Linked DNA regions of Arabidopsis thaliana. The protein of the gene in region 1 interacts with the protein of each later gene in a pairwise test. Each region holds a gene or a part of one and is shown in the gene's direction. Other genes may lie near its edges.

Region 1 (5,332 bases):
TTTAGTTCACTTTATCATTAAACCAACCTACTAAAAAATGGATTAGTGTGGATAAGATAACATTATCTGTTAAAAATAGATGAAATTTATTGACATTAAAAATTCAACAGAGAAACAGATCTGATGGTTTTAGAATCTTACTTAATGCTTGTTCGGCTGAGAATCTTCTAGAAGCATCTTTGCATATCAATTTCCTTAGGAAATCTTTAGCCATAGATGAAACCCCCCGGAATATCTTCGTCGGAAAACGGAGATTTCCTCTGAGTACCGCTTCGAATATCTCTTCAGCTGTCTCGCCGTAAAACGGTGGAGTTCCAGCGAGCATCGTGTACAAAACGACGCCGGCGCTCCATAGATCGACCTTCTCTCCGTAAGAATATCCCATTAAAACCTCCGGCGCCACGTAATACGGCGTTCCGACGACTCCTTCGGTGGTCTCTCCCTCACCTAACCAAATCCCTGAACCGAAATCGCAGATCTTAACCGTATCGTTTCGTAGATCTACCAGAATGTTCTCCGGTTTAATATCCCTGTGAACGACGCCGTATCGGTGACAATGCGAAAGCGCCTGGAGAATCTGTTTAGCGAACGACGCCGTCTGAGGCTCAAAGAAGGTTCCAGAAGAGACGAGACGGTCGTAGATCGAAACAGAGGGATGGACGAGCTCCATGAAGATGGAGAGAGTCGAATCAGTGTCGATGAGATCATGGATTTGAACGATGTTAGGGTGATAGGACAAGAGAGCCATGAGCTTAGGCTCGTTGTCGAGACAGGCACGGTCAAGGTCGTCGGAGAGAGAGGCTTTGTCGATGGTTTTGCAAGCGAAGAAATCACCGGTGGCCGGAGCGTAGACGCGAGAGACGGTGCCGAAACGGCCACGGCCGATCTCCTCGCAGATCTGGTATTTGTTGGTGTTGTTGTTTCCGAGTGTTTGGCTGCAAGTCATAATATCACTTTCTTAATATTTTTTGTTTTGTGTTGGTTCTTGTGTGAGTTAAGAAGACCTCTTGAGTCGGCTCTACCTTTTTTTATAGCCAAAACTCTTGAGAATATTCCTTTTGATGCCTACATGTTTTTTTTTTCTACTAGTATTTTCCTTTTCCTTAACGTTATATCTTTTTTGTTTTTATTTTGTTTTAAATAGGATTTTAGATATTATTTCCCAATCCAAATCTATTTTTTTGTTTTGTTAGAAGTTTACTTGGAGAAGGTTTGTACTTTGTAATGTCTTTTCTTATCTTATTATATACAATTTTACTTTCTAACAGTTCTTTATTATCTATTTGGTTTGTTCTTTGAAATGATAATTACTTGGTGGTAGTCTAAAATTCACATTTAAGTTTATTATCAAATGTACTACACAATTACAATCCTCTCTAAATTACAGAAAAACATTCTCAACAGATCCAGATTTGTTAAGATAAAATATTGGATCTACAATTTAATATGTTTCCAGAAAAAGTTCATAAATTGATAATGCACAATCTAGTGAAAAAGAGGTAGGAAATCCAACCCCAATTTATGCAAAAACATTTCCAAATTGAATGTGAGTACTAAACGATTTCTTGGACGAGATTGAAATCTGAAAAAGAGATAAGAAAAGTGTGGCATGTTTGGATTGGAATTGGGAGATAATCCCTGCAAGTAAGTAAACCAGAGATCCCACGAAAACAAACTAATAAAGACACTGGATTGGGCCGATAAATCAGTTGGGCTGAAGAAAGCAGGCCGTCTTTATTATTACCTAATTCGTTCACGATGGAGGTCGAACCGAGAATATCCCCCTCCGGAGGCGAGCGCCTTATCCATTGGGCCACGCGAACTATTGGTCAGGCCTCAGTTTTTAGCCTTAACAAACTATTGAGTATTGAATGATTAGCTTCCAAACATCAATCACCAACCTTCTAGTTTCCTTTTAACCCTACTAGAGCTCTGCTCTGCCATGGCTCCCGCACTATCTACTTCTTGCTCCTCCGTCATGGCTTTCTCAACATCAAACGCGCTTCGTTACCATCATCCTCAAATTTCTCTCAGGAACTCTCTTCGCGCTCCCAAATCGCCTTCTTTTGTCAGGTACTTTCTCTTGATGCTGCTTTTTTGTTTTCCACTTCTCTTCGGTGGCTTTAAAGTCGAAGAATCATCGTTTGATAGTTCTTTTTGTTGTGTAAACTTACGGATTTTGTGGGTAACCGTTATCTTCTTCCTTCATAAACATTGTCAATTGAATTCCGACGGCTTAATTCGTGGATGAGCTTCTTACTGTTGCCTATAAAGTTTACAACTTTCAATTGCACTTAAGAGAGTTCCATTGTTGTGCTTATCAGACCATTTGGTACACGTTATCATTGTAATGAGGATGATTGAAATTCTCAGGCTTCCCCTCGGAAAGGTGTTACAGAGCAGGATTGTGATACGTGCTGCTTCGTCTGCGGCTGGTAATCCACAGTCTGATGCTGACTTTAATCCGTATGAGGTAATTGATCGTTAGAGCCCTATAAAGGACTTGTTTTGTTGGTCGTTGTGTATTTCTCATGACATGAGTGTGTGTACCTTCTCAGGTTCTTGGTGTTAACCCTATAGAGGGATTTGACAAGATCAAGCAAACTTATGGAAGGAAACTTAAAGATGCTCAGAGGAGCGGTGATGAAGCCACTGCTGCTCTAGTAAGTTACGTTACCTCTCTCTTTCTTTGGAGTCCTGTAAGTGATTTTTTTTTTTTTTTTTTCTTGTTAACACGTCTCTGTTTTACCTTTTGATAGCTTGAGAAGGCATATGATAAGCTCATGTATGCCCAGTTGATGAATAGGAAAAAGGGTGTGACTTTTGGTTCGTTTAAGGTGTGTATCGTATCCTCTTTCTTGTCATATGCTGTCTTGAACTCTATGACCTTTCTTTCTCAATCCTTGGTGAATTTTTCATAATTCAGGTTTCCAAGGACATTAAATATGCTGATAAGCAGCCCATTATACCATGGGGTCCAAGGTAGAGATTCTTTATGAGTCTACTCGCATTATTAATTTTCATCATTCAAAAGCAGGATCTGTTACTACTCATGATTTACCCTTGTTGTTACAGGTTTTCCAGGTCCTCCAAGAATGATATGTTGATCAACCTAGCAATATCAGTTGTGTTTGTAAGTAGTTTTTAAGAAATATGAGGTTTGCTATTATTAGAAATGTCAGTTTTTTTTTTTTTTTTATCTGTACCCTTTATGAATCAAGACATCATGCATAAATGACTGAATTCTTGCAGAAAAAGTGACTTGTTTCTTACACATTTATGCATATATGACATTTCAAGTACAATCAGATATGAGCCTCTCCCACTCTTTCTGTTTCTTTCTTTTGCAGAGTGCATGGATTGCGATAAAACGTAATGTTGAATACAAACCGCTGCAGTTCATGTCTTTTGTATTTGTTTACAGAATTTTTGAGAAATTAAAATCCTTTGAAGCACCTTCATCTCCAATATATAACGTGAGTTTTGAATTTTTTTGAAGCCTTATGTTTTGATGTCCGTACACTTAGTGGCTCTTTTAATCCTGATGTGCACTGATGTTTGACACTGGCTGCAGGAGGAAGGCGAAGAAAGTGGACGGGGATTGAGAATGGGAAAGAGGCTTCTTCGTTCTCTTTCCTTAGTTTTTGGCTCTATACTCTTAGCATCTTTGGTATGCATATCCATCAAGACTCCGTTATTTTAAAGAATCCGTTTTATGTTGCACCATCTAGTATTAGGTTTATTCAAAGAGAGCGGCATATGTGATATAAATGTGTCCAAGCGTTATTTTATGGATGCTCCTGATTGTTTGATCTAGTTATTAGATATGTCAGGAGTTCTTTTAATTGTGTATACCTATGTTTAACTCTCAGTGAACAATGTTTTGCAGGCATACACTGGGTTCTTAAATGGCATCGAGTACATGGGCTACTCCATACCCATGGTTCTTTACAACAACCAGGTTGTTTTTTTTGCATAACTTACATCTCTCTTCGCTTGAAACCTTCTCTTAACTAGTCCCACACAAAATGATCATTTTGATCAAAAAATGGTTTAGGATATTTAGGTCAATTGTTGGCTAAGCCTCAATGAACAGCACTAGTTGATTAGGTTGTAGATGATTGTGCTGTTTGTTTTGATTTGTGACATCTATAGGTATAAGAAGTACTTGTACTGAAATAAAAACTAAATGCACAAGTATTAGGTATGAATTGGGAACACATGAGTTGGATATGTGTTGCCACAATTGCTGAATTAAGATATAGCAAAGAGAAGGGTCTGGTCTGTAAATTAAATAGTTCCATAAGTGATATCAGTCAACCAGGCTTTTGATGATGTAACAAGAACTGACTGAACAGTGCTAATTCGGTTGCAGGAACTTATAGTGACGGCGTCATCGGCTTTCATGCTCTATGTTATAGCGTCGTTTTACAGATAATGCGAGAGTCCACAGGAGAATTGGTCAGTTAGAAGCTTTTGGAGAAGTTATGCTGTATTATAGGATGTTGCTGGGAGATGAAAAGTTTATTTTCTACAGAGAGATGGGGTTATCTTTATAACCTTTCTTTTGTGTGGAAAATCAAGTAAATTTTGCAAGAGAGAAATCCCTTAGAATCTAAGTCTTGTCTATTTACGTTTAATGCTGAGGATCGCATGTGGAAGGTTTTTTAATTTTTGTATTGGAGCAATAATATGCGTGAAGTGAAAAATCTTGAGATACCTTGAAAGTATCAGTCGTACACACAATTGAAGCGTTACGAAGATGAGAAACGTTATCAACCTTGTTAAAACACAACTGTGGAGAGTTTAGAATTGATGATAGATGAAAAGTTATAGGGATCAAAATAGAGAGCTAATATCTTTGGTGTGGTGGCGAGAAAAATCATCTGAAAAGATGTTTCATAGATTTGAGGTACGAATCTGATTGGTTGGGTTAGATAAAGGTCAGGTCAGGTGGCTAAGACTGAATTCGACTGTCATCAAAAAGGAGTGTCCACTACGGTCAGCAAAAGAAAAAGGACTATGTAGGTGAAGTGAATCCGATGGGAAATAAAACAAATGTGATAGAGAGAGAACAGAGACGCCAATTATGAGTAGAGCTGACACGTTGGAGCTGACTCTGTCTCTATCTCTATATCTCTGTCTTTCTCTATTTATAGATGGAGTACGTACAGCTGCTCCACACTATATATACAGTACATACTTTGAAAAGTATATTTGAGTTACGTCTTCAACTTCAAAGCGTTTCTTACTACTAAAGTGGTACGTTTCCCTAATTCGCTCTCATTTTCCATCTTCTTCTTCTCCTTCTTTTGAAAACACACACACAAGT
Region 2 (4,921 bases), on another chromosome or scaffold:
ATATATATACTTTATCAAATATTTCAGAGCTCAAGCAGAGAGCTTCCTTCTCTGGCAAGCACGAAAAGGCCACCATCTCCTCTAGAAATCCTGAGATCCTTGTCGAGATAAGTGGTCAAGAGCCAAGAGCTGCCTCGGTTTCCTGGAAACGGAAGCTTGAGAGGTGGCTGACCAGAGAGTGCCCGTGAAATGTTTGCTGCCACATCTTGTAAGGGGTTCAAAGACTGCTTTAACAACGAAAGGCTAATCTGCTGCCCAAAGACGCCCACACTCTCTGGGAGATCTACACTTGATTTGATCACCGGGGGTTTTAGCGTGCCTTCTTTGAAAGAAACCTGACATTTACCAAACATTAAGACAACCAGATGGTGATACCAATACAAATTCAATCTACAAAGAAACCTTTTTAACATAGCTTTGTTTTAATGGTAAGGTTTGATTGACTGGAATGTAATCAAAAGTACAAACTGTTAATGCTTCAGTGACCTTAATACTCAAACTGGTGTTTGTAAGTTTAGTTACCTCAATTCTTGAAGGGCTTCGAACTTCAAATGAAGCAGTAGCACTGAAGGAGAAGTCTGCAAAAGGGCTGGAGAGTGTAGTGGAGTTGTCGATAATGAGATTGTTTGTGTCTATTGACTGACTTATGCTTTTAACTTTCAACAAAGGTGTCGAACCCGCAGCTAGTAGAGGAATCAACTCAGAGAAAGCAGTGTACCTATTTCATAACCCAAGAAAATACACAAAATTGGAACAACAGTAACAATTCCTGGATTATTATCATTCTTCATCAAAGATTTCACAATGTCTCATTCTCAATTCACAGTGTTGAAATTCTCAGCGACAACTAAAGGTTCCTACATCATCGAAACAAGATCATTTAACTTACAGCAAAACCCAGTTGCCGTCGAGAAGTTCTGGATTCTCTAACGGAGCCGGAGTAGGATTCAGAGCTTCCAGTTGATTCACAAGCTCCAAAACCTCCGCTCGGACTTCTGACCCAGCTTTGAAACCTAATTCAGTTCCGTACACCGAATCCGCCAAACACCTTTTCAGCTCCCAAGTCGGGTCAGACACCGCACTTCCATTTCCAGCGTCGGCTTCAGTTTCTCCTCCAATTTCTCCTCCCCACTCGTCTTCGTTCCTTGGAGGATCCGATTCCATAAACCGGGTCCCGGATTCCTCAAGTTCGGGTCCGGATTTCTCGCCCCATTCGTCCGTAATCACATTCACGGTCACATTATCTGGCTGAGAGTCGGGCTCATTTGCATCTCCAGGTTTCTCACCCCATTCATCTGTAACTGCAGACGCATCTAGGTCGGATTCCGATTCAGATTCCGAGGGCAGAGAAGATCGGATTTTAGAAAACCGGAGTGGCTTGGGACGATAACCAAAAGAGAAAGAGAGAGAGTTAAGTTTTAGGGAGATAGAAGGAGAGAAGGTCTTGCTTGGATTTATGGAGGAAACATAGAGGAGTGAAGAAGGACGAGCGACGGTGAAGAGCGTAGCCATGGCCGATCTTTGTGTTCGAGCTTGGTGAGAAAATTTCGGAAAACAAGATTACTCAAGTCTTAGAAAATCACACGAAATTTAGATGACCCCAGAAAAAACGCAATTTTAAAACTTCAAAAAAAAAAAAACTTTAAACTAATGGGCCTGACCCAGGCCCATTATAACGATTTGTATTCGTCTCTTTCCCTTATCCCCGTAGTGATACTTTGTCTGAGTGAGTGAGTTTGAAATCAATCATCAATGGCTGCTTTTGCTTCTGGTTTGGCTATAATCTTCAACTCTCCTTCACTAAACCCTGTCACAACTCAAGCGACCTTCCTTTCTTCGAATCGGATTCGTTCCTCTCCTCGCGTTTTCAGTGGATTTCACAGCCTCCGACGTCGCGGCTTCCGGCGATTCTCTCAAAATGTTATCCCCGACCGGTTTAATAGCTTCTCATGTAATTGCTTATCCGCCGTATCCACCAGCACTATCGATTACGAGGTGAATTTTCGTATTCACGTCTATACTAGTGTTGCTGGTCTATCAGTCTGAGTGATAAAATGGAGAATTGCGTATAAATGGCTGGTTCCAAGGTCTATGTATATATACCATGATCATGTAGTTGTTGTACATTAGTTAGATAAAAATTGAATCGTTTTCATATATGATGCAGTTCACGGATGGTGGCAAAGAGGTGGAATTAAGATTGAGGTTAAAGACAGGTGAGATACTTTCTCCAAAGGATATATCTGTTGACGCAGATGGAACATCGTTAGCCGTTAAAGAAAAGCGGAATGGATTGCTGATTACACTTCTAGAGACTAACCATCTCTTTGAGAAGATTATGCCCTCTGAAACAATATGGTTAGCTACGTGTAAATCTTGCATTATATGACTTGTTTTTGTGATGTGTGACATTTCCTTGAGGGCTGAAGTTTTGGTTTTGATCCAGAACAGGTACATAGACGAAGATCAGTTGGTTGTGAATATGAAGAAGGTGGATGGGGAATTGAAGTGGCCTGATATTGTCGAGTCCTGGGAGTCTTTGACTGCAGGAATGATGCAACTTCTTAAAGGTGCATCAATCTACATTGTTGGAGATTCAACTGAAATCAACCAAAAAGTGTCTCGAGAGCTAGCCGTTGGCCTTGGGTATGAATTCAGATTCTTCTCAGTGGGTGAATTCAGTTCCCGCCTTTCGTTCATGAGCTCAGTATGAATAGTATTTCAGAGTCTTATACACTTGTTATGATCTGCAGGTACAGTCCTTTAGATTCAAAGGAATTGCTGGAAAGCTTTTCCAAGCAAACAATCGATTCTTGTAAGTTTGCTTTTGGATCATGGTCATCATCTAACAAGAATCTTCCTCACTTCTCAGGACCCTTTTGTTTGTCTTCATTTTAGGGATTCTTGCAGAAGGGCCGGATTCTGTAGCTGAAGCAGAGAGTTCGGTATTGGAAAGCTTGAGCAGGTAAAAAGTCATGTCTAGTGTTCAATCTCTTTCCAGTTACCAAGATTAGCCACTGATCTCCATGTCTTTGCAGCCATGTGCGTACTGTTGTCTCAACTTTGGGAGGTAAACATGGAGCTGCGGGGAGAGCTGATCAGTGGAGACATCTTTACTCCGGATTTACCGTTTGGGTATCACAGACTGAAGCCACAGGTCAATTTCTCTCTACATCCACTTAAAATGAACCCTTCTGAACAGAAAACGAGAATCACTGCTTATACATTCAAGATTGGTTCTGAATGTAGATGAAGAGTCAGCTAAAGAAGAAGCGAGGAGAAGTAAGCAAGAGAGGGAGATTGGGTATTCAAACGCCGACGTTGTGGTGAAGCTCCAAGGTTGGGACCCGACGCATGCAAAGAGCGTGGCTCAGGCTTCCTTGAGTGCACTTAAGCAACTGATCATCTCAGACAAGGGACTTCCAGGTAATAAATAGAAGAAACCCATTTGTAAATTGATGCTTTAATCTGATAAATGTTTTGGAGATTAAATGCGTCTTTTATGATATTGAAGGTAAGAAGAGTTTGTACATACGCTTGGGATGCCGTGGCGATTGGCCCAATATAAAACCGCCGGGATGGGATCCATCGTCTGACACTGGACCTCATCCACAGTTTACATAAACAGTGTCAAGACATGCTTTTTGCTCTCTCCTACAAACGAATGCTCTTGAAGAAATTTTCTGTTATTGTTGTCATTGTCAATGGTATTTAATTGTTAAAGAAGTTGTATATTGGATAATTTGAGAATTGACTACCAATCTGAGTTTTAAATGGCACAAAGCGCACCATGGCTCAGAGAGTCCTTTAGTGCGCTATGTGCCATGGCTCACCAAAGCGCGCGCTTTTTAGATCTGTGGTGTTCTATTAACAGATTCTCTGCATATGGTTTTAGCCTTCAAGCTTATATCGTCTATGGTGTTCTATTTAGAAAAATTAGGGATTTTACATCTTCTAACTGGTTAAAATGTCGTGGGTTAAGAGGTAAGGGTCAAATCCGTTTTAGTTTAAGATAAACCTAGGATTGATTTGGTTTGATAAGCTAATTATAACTCATGGTTAAACTTTCTAGTCGTGGATTAGGTATTGACCAGCTAAATTGAATCATGTATTAACCAGCTAGGTTTAGAAAATGGTTTATCCTATTCCTCCTAGTCATTTCTTCGTGCAAACCCTAAAATCACAGAATTCTGTTGTTGGTTTCGAAGAGTTTTCGCCTGAACACAAGAGGCGATCGCTTTGCCACCTTGTGCATCGGCCAAGGCTCACGTATGGCGTGCGCATTATAGATGTCGCCTCGCCTCCACGTCTTGTTGCCCTATTCTTAGAGCATCGGTGCGCTATGCGCCATGGCACGCCATTAGCGCGCTTTTTAAAACTAAGGCTGTTGAATAACTTCCAGCTGATGAATTAAACCTCACAAAGAACCAAGGCTGTTGATCAATAAAAGACTCTTTGATTCCAAGTAAAGAAAAACAGGATAATGGAGACTAGTTTCACCAAAAGAGTAAATATAACAGTACTACTACTAAGTTTCTAAAGATCAAGTCACGTTTGTCGTAATCCAAACTATTAAGGTTTCACGACAGCAAAGAGAAGTCGACACATTAATCTAACCCAAACTCCTTTGAAGGCCTGTTATTGTAGATATCAGCAGATCATCATCTCCTACAATCATACTCAGCGTCTTATAAAATTCCTTTCTCGACACCTTCTTCTCCTGCAAGAGCACACCGATTATGTTAATACAATATGATAACCTTGACTATTGGTAAAAGACATGGTTTATATTATTTACCCTGAGTTCCTGGTAACCAGCAATTATCAAATCCATGTCTTTACGAGCAATTTTGCTCGAGATTGCTTTGAACAGCAGAGGGAAAGGCATTATAGGAGATCTGGGCCTTCTACTGCTGGAGCT
Region 3 (4,564 bases), on another chromosome or scaffold:
CTGTATATTCGTAACGTAGCCAACCCCTTAACTTTTGATCTAAATCTAACTGATCACAAAACCCTTGCTTCACTTCCTACTACGTAGAGGCAATGAAATCATCTAATAGCAAACTCCTTACATTGGAATCTAAGATTCTGATTGAAGCAAAGCTTTAACAAGGACTGTAGGACATATGTACAATAATAAACTTAGCATTCCCGTCTTACCAACTACACTTGGCAGAGGTCTTACTAAAAAATATTATCTTATCTAGAGGGGAATTTATTTAGATATTAAAGTTTGGGATCATACCACACATGTAATAAAACGTGACCTCACTGTCAAAACCCCATATATGACGAAGCCATGATTGCTGGTAACTATCTATGAAATAGACCATGTAGGCCAATGCAGCAATCACCTGTGAGCAGATGAAGTCATTTAAAAGGCATGAGTTAGATATATTACCAAATGAAAGAAAAACTACTGTAAGAAACAGAAGCACACATGAAAAATGAATACTTACAAGCTGAACAGCAAGAAATATGGATAAAATGTCTCGAGTAACAAAGAAGCGAAACTTCAATGTCCGCCATTTCCTATCTCCAGCACTGTGAACTCTCAGATAATATGGAGCCTTGCAAGTTGTGCAGTGCGCAAACGCGAAACCTTCCTGCAATAAAACGAGCTTACCAGGCGTCAACATCTGCTATTCATTATTTTACCATGATACTACCAAAAACACCACCACTCTAATCATCACTCATGAAACATATATCAACTCTGAAAATTTCACATCCAAAACCATCATTCTTTAGTTGTTTAGCCTTCGAATGGTTTTCGTATTCAACAAAAATAGAAATTTACAACAAAAGGGAAGTTCCTATTCAATAACACTTACACAGGTTGTCATATTTGATTGAAAATGGAAGGGATAACAACAAATAGTCAAAGAGTGAAAGCGAGCATTCATAGCTTTCAAGTTTCAAGTAACACTAACGACAGCCAAGCATGGACCCAAGTTGAGCTAAAGCGTATGAAAAAATGGAACCTTTATAGCTCTCCAATGATCCAAGCAATCACGATGTACATACTTTGATGTTCCTTTGCATTTGCATGGGGCAATGAAATCCCTACCTGACCATGATCAATAAATGAGCTTGAATCAACCAAGTAAGTTAGAACAAAAGCTCTCTCACTATATCACGGTTTTAAATCACTAGTCTTTTATAAAAAAAGAGTTTATCACTAACACTAATCTAAATCACATCAGAACCATTAACGATCTAGCCAATTCGAATTTCATAATCCGAATTCTTGAACTGAAGTTAGACATATCTATGAGCACATGAAAATGTTCAACAATCACTAGCAAGAAGCAAAGAATCTATTTAAGGAAGAAGCGAATCTAAATGGTTTTAGAAGACATTACCATCAGTTTCAAGGCAGATTCGGCACTGAATTTGTTCACCAGGTCCTCCAGCTTCGAGATCGATCTCGGAAGGCTCGACCATCGGCGACGGTGGAACCAACGGCGACAATTCCAGTTCGTCCGCCATTCAATTTCGAAATCTGGGTAAAACCCACGAATACCCAGAAAGAGAGAATAGAAAAGATCGAGACTTCGTCGAGCTATGATCCGATTTCGTTAGTTTAGCATTTATCGGTAGGTTTTTGTTGCCGTTAAACAAGTATGTGAATTGACCCGTCACTCACCGGTTCTTCGCCGGCACACAAAAACCAGAAATGTTGTATCTTTTTCCTTTTCTGTATTTTGACGTTTTTGCCCCTCTACTAATTCATGTTAAAAAAAAAAATTATGTGTTGCAAAAAAAAAAGCATGTCTGAGCCCGGGTTCGAACCGGGGACCTCTAGTGTGTGAGACTAGCGTGATAACCGACTACACCACCCAGACGTTTTTGTTAGACTCTTTACTTTATTATAAATATACTTAAATAATCTAGTGTTCTCTGGTGCACCCTATTTTAGAGGAGTTACTCTATTCAGAGTGTTTTTTTTGGTAGCCACTGCCGTCAACAATGGCGAAAGAAGGAGAAGAACGTAAGAAGGAGAAGAAAGAGAAGAAGGAGAGGAAGGAGAGGAAGCGTCGCGAAGCTGAAGAACTCGCTGTAAGAGAGAAGAAAATCTCAAAAAAACATAAATCGAAATCCAAAGAGGAAGAGAAACCAGAGAAATCAAAGAAGAAATCGAAGAAATACGAAGAAGTAGAAGAAGAGGAGAAATCTCCATCTCCATCTCCATCTCCTAAGAAATCGAAGGAGAGTAAGAAGAAACATAAGAGATCATCAGATGAATCCGAAGAGATCGTCGATTCAAAGCCTGTTACGGTCCCGATTGTTACCATTGAGTCTGATTCTGATTTCGAATTCGATAAGGAAGATATTAAGAATCTACTTGAATCTTACTCTAAAGAGGAGCTTATTAACCTAATTTACAAAACTGCTGAGAAAGGTTCTAAATTGATCTCAGCAGTGTTTGAATCAGCGGATAGAGATAGTTCTCAACGGAACATATTCGTGCGTGGTCTTGGATGGGATACAACGCATGAGAATCTCAAGGCGGCTTTTGAGGTTTATGGGGAGATAACGGAATGTTCTGTGGTTATGGATAAAGATACAGGAAGAGCTAAAGGTTTTGGCTTTGTGTTGTTTAAGACGCGTAAAGGAGCGAGAGCGGCGTTGAAGAATCCGGAGAAGAGAATGTATAATCGAACTGTTAGTTGTTTACCAGCTAGGCCGTTTAATTCTGGAAAGCCACGAGAACAACAACAACCGGTTGAGTCTGTGAAGATTGATTTGAGTCATACGGGTAATCAGAGTGAAATGGCTTTGCCTGGGATTGATTTGGGTCATGGACTTGATAAGGGACATCAGCAGCAGCAGAATATGTCAATGTATGCTGGACAGAACATGCCCTTTTATGGACATTCTCAGCCTCCTCCTGGTTTTAATCCTATGTATGGTGCAATGATGGGTAATCCGATGGTTGCTGGTTTACAGAATTATCGTATGTTTGGCTCGGGTATGATGAATCAAGGACCTATGATGCCACCGAATCATATGGGAATGGTGGGACAATATGTTGGTGATGGTAATGTTAACGGTGTTGGTGCGGGTGCTGGTGCTGGTGCTGGTTTTGATGGTGAACGTGCTTGGTATCTGAGATAAGAGAACCCAAGTGGTATGACCATGTTCTCTGATATTTCAAGTTATAGATTAGGCTAATGATTAGTCCGGTATCTTCGACTCCAACTTGATATTTTGGGAATTGCAGGAGTTTTTTTTGCGGATCTTTATTTTCTATGCCTGATGTTTCAAACCTACTTTTTTAGTTTCATTATTTATAGTCTCTTTTAACGAGGTATCTACCCCTATATGAGCCATTTTGAGGGAGATGTGTGCTCAAAGGATGAATTTTCTGTTGCTCTCTGGAAGTCTGTCATTGGTGTTCTGCTCTGTTCTCATAAACCAGTGAAATGTGGTCATTTTGTCTAGAAGATTTAGTTACTAGGATCAATATTGGTTTAAAGTAGTTTGCTATCTCTTTGTTTTCCCTTTTGGAGTCCCCCATTATGGTCTTCTGTCTTCTCCTTACCCATCAAACTCACGTCTGGTTTTCTTCTGTGGCATGGCGTATGTTTTTCTCTTTTGTTTTTCCTTGTTTTTGGTTTTATGTTTTCCCGCATTTTCATTGAATATCTGTTCGCTATAGCTGGAGAAGAAGCTTATGACATTTATAGTTTTGTCCACTATATGTCATAACTGCCAAAAGTCTGTATCTTCCAGCTGCAGTTGTCTTGAGACCCGTTTGTAGGATCAGACATAATGGTTTTACATTCTTGTTTTAAATCTGTCTTTTTGAGTACTGGAAAAAGTTTTGGGACTCTTTCAAAAGCTTCAAGTTGATTTTCTCTGGAATAAACAACCTGAGTTTTCTTTCCTTCAAGCATTGTTTTCTTCCCCATAGGTTTTTATAAGCTTCTCAATCTCTTTCATCACATTCCTCTTTTATGGTAGTGTCGCCCCTTTCTCTTTTGTATTTAAGAGTCCATTTTGATATCAGTTGCCAAGTTTTCTTGCCTAAGTTCAAGATTGTTTTTGGTCATCGGTACTTGGACCCAATTTGTTTTTCACCTTACATAGCTTTGTTCTGGATTTACCTTTTTTTTACCTGCTCGTTATTCATATTCTATATAACTCTGGTTATGGTAGCAAAGCATACTTGTTTTTTTTTTTTTTTTCTTTGGATTTTCACAATGACCTCACAGTGACCGATGATGCGAATGCTTGTTTTCTTAAGAGGATCAATCTTGTTTTCAGTTTTTCGATTTCTTAAGAGGATCAATCTTGTTTCTCGGTTTTTGGTCTTCTCTGCAGCTATCCATCCATCCATATGAATCAACTCGTATTAATCTATAGTATGCTTCAGCTAAATCAACTTTGGTTTGGTTTTGGTCATTTGATTTCGTTGTTTTGTGATCATGATCTTATGAGGGCTTTGTTTTTCTTTCCAATGGGGAAACTCTGAAAATCTTAAGAACAAAAACAAAACCCTCTCTAAG
Region 4 (3,611 bases), on another chromosome or scaffold:
CCTGCTTTTACAAAGCCCATCGATGAGTGTGTTGTATGTAACAGAGTTTCTTGAAACTCCATGTACTTCCATCTCATCAAATATCTCCTCGGCTTCTCTAGTCTTGTTGGCTTTGCAAAACCCATCAATCAAAGTGTTGTAAGTTATCACACTCCGTGCACAACCACTCAATTCCATTTGTTTAAGCATGTTCAGAGCTTCATCTAGCTTCCCTTTGGAGCATAAGCTATCAATCAGCATATTGTAAGTGAACTCGTCAGGCTCACATCCTTTGCTCCTCATCTCTTCAAACAACTCCATCGCAACCCGGTGATTCCTAGTCAAACACAAACCTTGGATCAAAGAGTTAAATGTACAAACGTCAGGAAGGATCCCTTTGCTGGTGAGAACACGGGCAAGCTCCGTAGCTTCCTCGACCTGATTCTCTTTACATAACGTGCTGATCAAAGTGTTGTAAGTAACCGTGTTCGGAGAACAATCTCTAGTAATCATCTGATCAAGAACCTCCACTGCTTCTTTCACCTCTCCAAGCTTACACAAACCCGAAATCACCGAGTTATAAGTATACACATCTGGATCATACCCTTCTTGAAGCATCACATCCATAATCTCAATAGCATGCTTCACATGCCCTGCTTTACACAAACCATTAACTAACGTATTAAACGTGTACTGATCCGGAAAAAACCCGTCTTGATTAGACATCTCCTGAATGAAATTGAGAGCGTCTTCGACTCTCCCTTCCTTACAAAAACCATGAACAATAACATTAACACTCACATTAGACCATGAACAACCAAACTCAACCATCTGTTCCCTAATCCTCAAAGCTCCATCCAAGTCCCCTTCTTCAATATAGCCTTGCATAACCGTTGTAAATGTCTTCTCATCAGGAACAAGACCGTAACTAGGCATATCCTCCAACATCAAAATCGCAGGTCTAAGCTGATGAGCTCTACACAAAGCTTTGATCAAAACATTAAACGTAGATACATCTGGTTTAATCCCCCAGACACTCATCTTCGCGTGAGAAATCTCAACGAGTTTCAGACTATTCCCATCAACGAGAAGATTCAACATCCGGTTATAAAAATGGGTATCGGGTTTTAACCCGAATTCGTCAATCATCCAATCAACAACACTTAAAATCTCATCTTGCAATTCGAACTGAGCATAACTCTCGATTAATATCAAGAAAGTAGAAGTACCCATTTCGCATCTGGAACTCTTCATGTCTTCAAGAATTTTCTTCATGTCATCAAACGAACCAGACCGACCTAGCCGAAGGAGAATCTCTTCGTATAGAGCAGGTTCAGGTGAGAAATTTGGCTTCTTAGAGGCCAGATTAAAGAGACGAAGTGCGGCGGAATCATCAGGCTGGCTACGGAGTGAGTCGAGAAGCTTGACATCGGTAGAGGAGAGAGCTGCTGAGTGAGGAGAAGCGAAGGAGATGGTAGAAGAAGGAGGAGTTAGATTGAGAGAGAAGGAATGATGAGTTAGGGTTACAGCTTGAGAGATAGAAAATGGATAGAATTTGAGACATGAAGAGAAAGCCATAGTTTTCAGTTTCCAGAGAAGATGATGAGAGTGAAGCAACAAAATGGGTTTAAGGATTACAATTTTTTGCTAACCGACCGGTTCGTTCGTGAACCGGACAATTATTAAAAATTCGATTTAGGTTTTTTAGCAGTAAGCCAAAAAGTGAGACGCTTTGGAAAATGGAAAGTGATTCAATGCAAAAGAGCAAAAAGTAGTAAGTGATTCATAAACCCTAATTCTGATTGTGGACGAAACCTAATTAGAATCATTTTTGAAATGGCGACACAGTCAGTTAACGCAGTGATCGTTGATCTTCCCGGAGATGTAAACGACGACGGCGATAATTCCGATTGTTTCATCTTCTCCACTCCTCCTCTCTCTGCACGTGGTTCCACAAAGCGTGATGCTATTTCCGTTGAGAATTACGATCGTGATCGGAAACTTCAACGTCTCTGGGTCTACCCTCCTCACAAAACCGTAATCAAGTCAGAATCTCCAATTTACATAGATCTTGATCTTTACGATGATGAAGACGATGATATCAGAATCCTCTGTTTCGCACCACCAATCCACAGAGAAAAGGGTCAGTCTTCTTCGTCAAAGACGGCGACTTTCGACTGTGAGATATGTGTTGATTCAAAATCCATAATTGAGTCGTTTCGTATCGGTGGATGCTCTCACTTCTACTGCAACGACTGTGTTTCGAAATATATAGCAGCTAAATTACAAGACAACATTCTCTCAATCGAATGTCCTGTCTCTGGTTGTTCTGGTCGGCTCGAGCCAGATCAGTGTCGTCAGATTTTGCCTAAAGAGGTTTTTGATCGGTGGGGTGATGCTTTGTGTGAAGCAGTAGTGATGCGTTCGAAGAAATTCTACTGTCCTTACAAGGATTGCTCTGCTTTGGTTTTCTTAGAAGAGAGTGAAGTAAAGATGAAAGATTCGGAGTGTCCTCATTGTCATAGAATGGTGTGTGTGGAGTGTGGGACTCAGTGGCATCCGGAGATGACTTGCGAGGAGTTTCAGAAGCTAGCGGCGAACGAGAGAGGAAGAGATGATATTTTGCTTGCGACGATGGCAAAGCAAAAGAAATGGAAAAGATGTCCTTCTTGCAAATTCTATATTGAGAAATCTCAGGGTTGCTTATACATGAAGTGCAGGTATATATATGTATCTTCTTCTTCTTAACAAGAGTGTTTTTAAAAAACATTGTTTTTATATATCTTTTTAAACACATTTTGGCAGGTGTGGGTTGGCTTTTTGCTACAACTGTGGAACTCCATCGAGGGACCATACTCATTATTGTTATAATTGTAAGCGTTGATATTTAGCATCAGCATTTCTTATTATATAGGTCTCTAATCTAAAGCTAAGCTTAAGCTTTAAGGATATGGATTTCTATTTGGTCTTGATGCTTTGTACCTATTTTCGCTATTTAGGTAAAAAGGTAATATCAATCATATGGACAATAATTTATCGTGTTAACAATGTAAGATCCTAGAAACAAAAATTCCTTTTCAACTTCTAGCACCTTAACTCTGTTTTACCGTATAGAATGCAACCTTTGTCTTATTTCTTTACATAGGTCTTGTTCCTCTCTTTGACCATCCAAACTTCATGGACTATATCAGGCTTTAAACTTCTTCTTAGGTCTAATCTCTTTTGTTTCCTCTTGTAACATCTCTTAGGATTTTCTCGTTTGAGATCATCATACCTACCATATCCACATAGGATTCTACATTCTCTGATACCTCTAATTCTTACTATCATCAAAAATATGCATTGAAGAAGGGTGAGAAAGGGTTCATTATTAAATAAAAACCTTTATACATTAATCTACATAGATATGTACCTTTGGTCTTCATAGCTAATACCAGATTCCGTTACATTTGCCAACGAATCTACTTAATTCCAGCCACAGAGAGAACAATTCCAGTCACTCTAAAGTGACTTTGCTACTACGTTGTCTACATATTCTCTGAAAACATGATATTATCTCAAGTTACATTAACCAATATGAATGGAAAAAATGACTGTTAATGATAACTTATTATTTTAAACAGAGCCGATCC

Evidence for each region.
Region 2: the proteins of CJD1 (region 1) and SKL2 interact in a two-hybrid assay, tested with the Arabidopsis thaliana proteins (one study listed by BioGRID).
Region 3: the proteins of CJD1 (region 1) and AT2G22100 interact in a two-hybrid assay, tested with the Arabidopsis thaliana proteins (one study listed by BioGRID).
Region 4: the proteins of CJD1 (region 1) and AT3G53690 interact in a two-hybrid assay, tested with the Arabidopsis thaliana proteins (one study listed by BioGRID).

What each region holds. Positions count from the first base shown.
Region 1 is NC_003070.9:2,747,820-2,753,151, reverse strand, and holds CJD1 (Chloroplast J-like domain 1), read left to right. Parts: upstream 1-1,531; 5' UTR 1,532-1,942; coding exon 1,943-2,073; intron 2,074-2,373; coding exon 2,374-2,473; intron 2,474-2,558; coding exon 2,559-2,663; intron 2,664-2,759; coding exon 2,760-2,837; intron 2,838-2,926; coding exon 2,927-2,982; intron 2,983-3,075; coding exon 3,076-3,133; intron 3,134-3,350; coding exon 3,351-3,476; intron 3,477-3,574; coding exon 3,575-3,670; intron 3,671-3,889; coding exon 3,890-3,961; intron 3,962-4,375; coding exon 4,376-4,438; 3' UTR 4,439-4,791; downstream 4,792-5,332. Other genes in the region: PPCK1 (phosphoenolpyruvate carboxylase kinase 1), read right to left, coding at 142-946; AT1G08645 (uncharacterized protein), read left to right, coding at 557-901, 1,145-1,210, 1,322-1,339. UniProt on the Arabidopsis thaliana protein: Probably involved in the regulation of the fatty acid metabolic process in chloroplasts, especially chloroplastic galactolipids monogalactosyldiacylglycerol (MGDG) and digalactosyldiacylglycerol (DGDG).
Region 2 is NC_003071.7:14,912,286-14,917,206, forward strand, and holds SKL2 (shikimate kinase like 2), read left to right. Parts: upstream 1-1,651; 5' UTR 1,652-1,752; coding exon 1,753-1,995; intron 1,996-2,167; coding exon 2,168-2,358; intron 2,359-2,451; coding exon 2,452-2,646; intron 2,647-2,753; coding exon 2,754-2,815; intron 2,816-2,898; coding exon 2,899-2,965; intron 2,966-3,038; coding exon 3,039-3,157; intron 3,158-3,249; coding exon 3,250-3,426; intron 3,427-3,514; coding exon 3,515-3,624; 3' UTR 3,625-4,383; downstream 4,384-4,921. Other genes in the region: AT2G35490 (Plastid-lipid associated protein PAP / fibrillin family protein), read right to left, coding at 24-335, 523-718, 890-1,512; SRO1 (uncharacterized protein), read right to left, coding at 4,613-4,720, 4,799-4,921.
Region 3 is NC_003071.7:9,391,003-9,395,566, reverse strand, and holds AT2G22100 (RNA-binding (RRM/RBD/RNP motifs) family protein), read left to right. Parts: upstream 1-1,972; 5' UTR 1,973-2,021; coding exon 2,022-3,170; 3' UTR 3,171-4,013; downstream 4,014-4,564. Other genes in the region: AT2G22120 (RING/FYVE/PHD zinc finger superfamily protein), read right to left, coding at 295-403, 509-655, 1,034-1,119, 1,415-1,541. UniProt on the Arabidopsis thaliana protein: Acts as a component of a complex regulating the turnover of mRNAs in the nucleus. Binds with high affinity to RNA molecules that contain U-rich sequences in 3'-UTRs. May function in complex with UBP1 and contribute to the stabilization of mRNAs in the nucleus.
Region 4 is NC_003074.8:19,898,249-19,901,859, reverse strand, and holds AT3G53690 (RING/U-box superfamily protein), read left to right. Parts: upstream 1-1,624; 5' UTR 1,625-1,815; coding exon 1,816-2,699; intron 2,700-2,784; coding exon 2,785-2,863; 3' UTR 2,864-3,072; downstream 3,073-3,611. Other genes in the region: MEE40 (Pentatricopeptide repeat (PPR) superfamily protein), read right to left, coding at 1-1,557.